Oryctolagus cuniculus: one gene and its partner. The protein of the gene in region 1 binds, or shares a complex with, the protein of each later gene. Links are inferred from orthologs where the notes say so. Each region holds a gene or a part of one and is shown on either strand. Other genes may lie near its edges.

What was found. Proteins that work in one complex are often made in the same cells at the same time.
Region 2: the proteins of RLIM (region 1) and UBE2E2 are in contact, whole or in part, in a crystal structure (PDB 6W9A), measured with the Homo sapiens proteins. The link is inferred for Oryctolagus cuniculus from reciprocal best matches to the Homo sapiens genes RLIM and UBE2E2. Residues at the interface, in NP_057204.2 of Homo sapiens: Ser571, Val572, Cys573, Ile574, Thr575, Cys596, Arg599, Trp600, Pro608, Ile609, Arg611; in NP_001357154.1 of Homo sapiens: Lys52, Thr55, Lys58, Arg59, Lys62, Pro112, Asp113, Pro115, Phe116, Ile142, Asn146, Trp147, Ser148, Pro149, Ala150, Leu151, Thr152.

What each region holds. Positions count from the first base shown.
Region 1 is NC_091453.1:54,291,800-54,295,449, forward strand, and holds part of RLIM (E3 ubiquitin-protein ligase RLIM), read right to left. Parts: coding exon 2,168-3,650; 3' UTR 1-2,167. UniProt on the Homo sapiens protein: E3 ubiquitin-protein ligase.
Region 2 is NC_091435.1:159,120,033-159,123,682, reverse strand, and holds part of UBE2E2 (ubiquitin-conjugating enzyme E2 E2), read right to left. Parts: intron 680-3,650; 5' UTR 594-679; coding exon 418-593; intron 1-417.

The DNA of each region.
Region 1 (3,650 bases):
TTCTTTTTCTTTTTTTTTTTTTTTAGCCAATCAGGACTACCCTGCAGATCTGAAAACCATAGGTTACACCCTTAGAAAAGGAGACAAGGAGGCTCACAAATATAAAGGAATCCTGACTTTTGCATGGACAATTTTTTTTAAAAGATAAAATGTATTACATAAGCGCCATAAACAGTGAAATCTGCTTATATTAAAAAAAATAAGTGAAGCTTTGTTTGAACATTATTTCCTTGCAAGAGCAGTACATATCCTTTAGTAAACAACTACCATATTTACAAGTTAACTTCCTTGATACTTAGGTAGGATTGAAAGCGAGAAGAAAACATGAGATAATGAACTCTGAAATAATCTTTATAGTGAAGTTGCTAACAGTGAAGGTAGCCAGGAACAATTCCTAAAGCAGACTTGTTTACTCTGTAGAGGGATCTGACTATGTCTGGGTAGTTAGCTCATTTCGCTAAAGGCCAAGGACGTGTTCAAGCCCTCTTCTGGCCTATTGGCTTTTCCCAGAAAAACAAGTACCTGCTCCACAGACTGACCCCAACCAGCTTTAAGAGAGGAATTAGGCAAAAGTACTGGGGTTATCATTATTTACTCTTACTACTAAGAAAACATAAAGTGCCTGTCCATAGTGAGTGAGCTGTCTCATCTTCAAATATGGACACCACAATTAAATTTTGAATTTCAATTAAGCCAAAATGATACACTTTCAAGGAAAGGTAAAAAAATCCCTTAATTCACCTGGTCATCATATGCAAGATATTAAGTCTGCGATAGACTGTGATGAAATATTAGCAAGTGTGCACTAGTACCTTAAATGGCAAATCTCAAAAACACTGCAAATTCGAGACTTTCCTATGAGCACACACATCTGTACCAACTGCAATTTATGCTAAAAGTGGTTTGTAGTCTCTTTCCTCCACTGTTGGAGGTGCAGACTTGCAAAAACATCAACTTAACTTGATGTAGTGGTTTGTGTCTCTGCAACCAGAGTTCTGCCAAATTTGCCGATCTGCCTCATATGTTCCTGTAGAATGCCAAGTCATGCTGCTGCTGCTCTCACTGTATGGAACCAGTTGTTGTCTGCATTATTACTGTCTACATGAAAATTTTATGCTCCTCAGAGCAGTTTTCTTGACTCCAATCTGTCATTTCCTGCCTAAATTCAAGTTAAACACACAATTTCCATTGGTCTTTAATGCAGTTTGACTCTGCATGGCCCTATCCTATGCATGTCACAGTAGCTGTTCACATACATTAAATATTATAGATATGTTCTGCTCTTGACACCTACACACTTACAAAAGCAGCTTTGTACTTTGTTTGGTGTGTTTTTTTTTTTTTAAACTATGTTGGCTCACAAAAAGCAGTTCTCTCATTTCTAAGCATGGTACTTTACAATTTTTTATGCATTAATACAACAGTGCATTGGAAAAGTACTGAGCCTCTACAAAATAGCTTTACATTTTTAAACAAATGAATGTGATTTTTTTCACTTACACAAGCATAGGCTTTTTAATATTTCCACAAGATAAATATCTCAATTAAACTATAAGCTCACTCTACAGTGTGCCACAGTGATGGGCTTAGGAGACAGTTATACACTTAGAGGATTCTAACCTTAGTGTTATTTACACTGACATGTCCAGTATCACCTAGTCTGAAAGGTGAACAAACAATACTCAGAATGTGGCTGAATTTGTGTCAATAACTGGGAATGGTACAGTTTTAAGTAATCACTTAGGAAACACATACTGTAACTTAGCCTAAAGTGGGAAGTTCCTTCACCCCTCTCTCTCCTATGGCATGGGAAACTTTACATAAAGATCAACATGAAACAGATAGGAGCCATTGCTAAGGCAGATCCTTTAAGATAACAAAGGAGAAACCAACAAGTGTATATGATACAAATTATCAGTAACAGAGATGTCATCAATTCAACTGGTACTGAAATCAGATTGTTAGATCCTAAAATGTTGCTCTTTAAATGCTTCCTTGTGTTCTGGGACAGAAACTGCAAAAAAGGACAATGATTCCTTCAGAAAGCAATGACTCAATTCAGGTTGTTACTTTACATTTAAGCACCACTCAAAAAGTGGACATAAAACAAGTGATTCCTGTTTGCCCATCACTATACCAGCTACATAGCTGAAAGTTCAGATCTTAATTACACAACACTTTCTCTGTTACCAGAAGCTAAGACTGCTCTGCGACAAATAGGGCAGGTAGAATTCTCAGACAACCAGCGATCGATGCAGTGCACATGGTACTCATGGGAACAAGGTAGTTTACGAAGTTTGTTGCCTTCTGTATATTCTGTAATACAAACACTACAGGTTTTTAATGCATCGTTTTCACCAAAACTTCTCATTGCCAAGTTGTCAATCTGTTCTTTGGTGAGTCCTCTAGGTTGGTCATCATCATCCTCATTTAAGAGGAAAAACTGAGCCAGACTAAGGAAGGGCAAAGAGCCACTTTCATCAAATGTGACCGGGGCCCTATGTCGACCCTCTCGCCTGGCGCCTGATGATGAGCTTCCTTCATTACTGCCTTCAAACACCTCTGAGCTACTTTCTGAACTTTCACCACTGGAACTGGAACTGGAGCTAGGGCTCGAACTGGAACTGGAACTGGAACTGGAACCAGAACTGCTACCACCACCAGAACTCCCTCTTCCATTCCGTGGCTCTGCCCTCTCCATATTTCGACTTGGGACTGAGCCACTAGGTTCTGAATCACTATCACTGTACATAAAGTAGCTTAACTCACCAAAACCTGTCATTATCTGCCTTAACATGGTCTGAATTGCAACAGATGTAGTCTCACTTAAACCAGTATTTAAGATTCTACGAATGGGAATTCTGATGGTACTGACATAGGTTCTCACACCTGCCCGCTCAGAACGTGAAAATGTACGCCTAAAACCTCCTCGTTCACTTTCATAAGTGACAGTGTTGTTTGATGTCTGAGACCTTGAGCGAGTTCTACTAGCTATGCTATCTCTTTGCCGATATTCCCCAGGACGAACTCTTCTCACTTGAAGATCAAGGACTATGGTTGGAGGTCTCTGCCCTGATCCTGTGGATTCACCATTGCTGGCTGTGTCTGAAGAACCTGCTCCTTGAGAGGCATTTCTTGTTCCAGAAGCTGCAAAAAGACCCCTACTTAGCAACTCTGGTCCAGTGATCTGCTGTCTTAATGTCACATGGTGTCTGGTTCTAGAACTTCCCTCAGTCTCATTTACCAAAGGATGCTCAAAAGTCTGAGATGAGATACTATGATGAGACCTTCGTGGAATTTCACTCATTGGATGCAGAGGTGACCTGCTTCTTTCAGCTCTCGCTCTGGTTCTCCGATGGTCGGGGCTCCTGCTTCTTGCCCTCCTCAGACCTCTGGCAGGTGGAGCCTCTGCTAATGCTTCAGATGAATTTCGTTCTGATCTAGACGATCTTGTAGATGTTGATTCAGATCGCGGATTTTCCACTTGCCTTTGGCTGTTTTCCACATTTTCTCCACTAGAACGTCTTACAGATGGCTCATTTTCATTCTCTGAATTTTGGCTCCCATTATTACGGTTAACATTTATTTCTAAGCTGAATCTGAAATCACCACTGTTTGGATTAGTCCGGCTCACTGCTCTCCAAGACTGG
Region 2 (3,650 bases), on another chromosome or scaffold:
AAGATGCACTTGTTAATAATTTCAGCACTTCTAACTTAACCAAGAGAAAGTAGCAGAAAATAAGGCATCATTCCACCATCATTAAAACAGATTACTAATCTCTCGTCTTTGCTACTAAACAGAAAAAAAGTATTAATGATCAATTAACCATAAAAGTAAACCATCATACACTTATATGCATGTCTGTCCAGGCCTCTCTAACAATATATGTTTATTTTATAAATCTGACATACCACTTAACTGACTTAAGTACCAAAAAGTTCCCTAAAATTAAAGCCACCTAAAAAAGGTCACCTTAAAGGGGAAAGAAAAATCCATGGCCCACATCTCAGAAAAAAATGACTAAACACATCAGAAAAGCAGAAGTTAAGAGGATAAAATGACACCAGAACTAAAAAGTTGCAACAACCGAGGTACCTTTTAGCACTAGTCGACAATTTAGCAGCCGTCTTGCTGGATATTTTTCCCTCCTTCTTCTTGGGCTGAACTTGCTCTCGTTCCGGTTCTTGCTGAACACTTTCACGCTGGTCTCCATCAGAACTTCCTCCACTAGTGCTTGGACTGTCATCAACTCTTTGTGCCTCAGTGGACATTTTAGATCCTTGATTAAAGAAGCAAATATTATTTATTCAGCTGTGGGGAGGACTACTGTAAGGTACTTCCACACAAGAAAGCGAGCCTAAAAAATAAAACAAGTAAAATGCAATATAAAATGGATTCAGTCAGTCATTTACAAAAACAAACAGTGCTAGGAGTTACCAAAACTTTTCTTTCATCCATTCAAAATGTATTAAGAAATGAAAATGCAAATTTCATACACAAAATGTTCATAGCATCATTACAATAGCCTAAATATCAAAAACAATTCAAATGTCCACGGACAAAGGGAAATAAAAATGTGGTAGACCCATAACGGATTAATATTTAGCCATTAAAAAGGAATGGTGTACAGTATCCATAGCAATACAGATGAATCTTGAATTATCACACAAGTCAAAGAAGTCAGGCACAAATGACCACAGTTTGTATGTTTCCATTTCTATGAACTATCTAGAATAGGCAAATCCACAAAGACATAGAAAAAGGGCTAGGAATGAGGGAAAAATGCACACTAACTGCTAATGAATACAGGTTGGGGTGATAAAAATGCCTTTAAATTAGATAACGGTGATGTTGCAAAACTGTCAATACAGCAAAAACAAGGGTTTTTTTTTTTTAGAAAAAAAAAGAATTATTCATTTATTTGAACGGCCAAGTAACAAAGAAGGAGAGACGGAGATAGAACAAAATCTTCCGTCTGCTGATTCACTCCCCCAAATGGCAGGAGCTGGGCCAGGCTGAAGCCAGGAGCCAGGAACTCCAACAGGGTCTCACACGTGGGTAGCAGGGGCCCAGGTACTTGGGCTATCTTCCACTGCTTTCCCAGGCACCACAGCAGGGAGCTGGATTGGAAGTAGAGCAGCCCTGCAGAGCCTAGAACCAGCACTCCATTACTGATGCCAGCTTTGGAAATGGCAGCTAACTTAACCCAATGTGCCACAACACTGGCCCCCCGAAGCCAGAGTTACACATTTTTAAAGGATTTAGTGTATAATACATAAATTATATCTTAATAAAGAGATTATTTTAAAAAGAATAAGAGAAGGAAAGGAGGGAAAAAAAGGACACAGGCCCACTTGCTATACCAGGCACTGTGGTAAACCTGTTAGCCCCACAACTGTGAGAATTTTGAACTACAAGGTAAGCCAGCTTGCTAAGTGCCGCAACAGAGGTTAGCACAAATCCACAGATACAGAGAAATAAGGGCTACTTTCACATCCACATCCAATCAATACATCCTCAGGGCTGAACTCAGGTTAGGAATCCTCTAGCAGACAGTTTAAGTAACCTTCATGACAGCCTAAGAACAGAGGCCTGCTTGATCTAAATAAAGCCTGAACCACAGGACAGCATCAGCACCGATTCCAGCATATAAAGCAATCACGTTTCACAAGGGAGGGTGACAGTATTCAGACAATGAAGAACTCCTTTTTGCCCCACAGTCTGGAAGAAATGTCCCTCAAGGTTTTCAAATTCCCTTTGCTCTAAGTTCATGTTCTCCAAGCAACTCTGATTATCAACTAAATTTCCTCAATACCTTGGTACCTCGGCAGCTTTTATAACCTAGATAGCAGAGACCAAAAAAAAAAAAAAAAAAATCCTGGTAAATTAAAGGACTATCCTCCCTCCCCTCAGTGTCCTTCTATCATAATCAATTGCTGCGCTTGATTACCATGACCTCCCTTACAATCCTACCAGCTGAGTGTTGTGACAAATGCAGAACTACCCTAGCCAAAGGGATGCTCTGAGATGCTACAAGGCCTTGTGCCCTCCATGGCGCAGTCACCTCACGGCCACCTGGACTCCATACAGCTATCTCTCAACACTGCCTTAAAGAACAAAACTACCTATGTTTTAAGAAACACCATCAACACCACAAAATACACCTTTACCAAAACACAATAAACAGGACAAAATTCCTTTTGAAAAGGATACTTTTTGTTTCATTTGTTTTTGAGGGTTGTTTTGGTCAGCTAAGGCTGGACCAAGCGGAAGCCAGGAGCTTCATCTAGGTCTCCCACGTGGGTGGCAGGGGCCCAAGCACTTTTCCCAGGCCACCAGCAGGGAGCTGGATAGGAAGTGGAGCAGCCAGGACTCAAATCAGCACCCATATGGGATGCTGGTGTCCCAGGCAGTAGCTTCACCATTACCCTACAATGCTGGCCCTGAAAAGGATACTTCTTACCACCCCTTAATCAAATCAAGATGTGAAATAAAATTTGCTTTTATGACTGGATGTAGGTATAGGATAGGTAAAAGATATCTCTCACATAGTTTTTCAATACTATAATTAACTGAATCTGTGTGAATAGCTAGTTGACACGGATAAAAATGCAACTTCACCAAAGACTAACTTTTGCAGATTTTTCTAAACCAAAGTCATTTTGGAATACAGTCCTTTAACAAGGTGAGCAAAAAGCACTACAACAGAGTGGGAGAATCTGGAAGCACAGAGGGGTGAAGAGTCGAGAAAAATAATCAATGTCTTCACTGAGACACCACCCACCCCTACTCCAAAAAACGGAGCCATTTCCCTACGCCAAACAAAAATACACCTGCCCAAACAGCTCTGAAACGCACTGCTGGGATGTCTCCCTACCCTTCTCTCTTCTGCAAATGCAGAGCATCAGCCCCACAGCTGTGACATCTGTTATGAACACGAAAGTCACCTAATAGAATGCTCAAGTTTTACATCAGTAGGTTTCAGATGTAGCGCTAAAAACCCTACCATATTTCTTGCTTTTTTAAAATTTTTACTTCACTTTAAATTATCATTCTTGGATTGAACATTAGTTTTTTTGTTCCGCTTACATCTTTCAATTAAAATGTCAGAAGTTTAAAACACTGTCAGTATGTACACAATAGCATGTCAGAGCAGATGTGCATGGGAGTCAGAAAGAATAATTCTCAGAGAAAGGCATCCAGATATAGCGAAGTGTTGCCAACAATATTTTAAGAAACATGAAATGAGTAAGAAATCATTTTACATATCTTTAACCAGAAGCAATCCATTACATGACAAATATATGGGAGCCTAAATGAAATAGGAC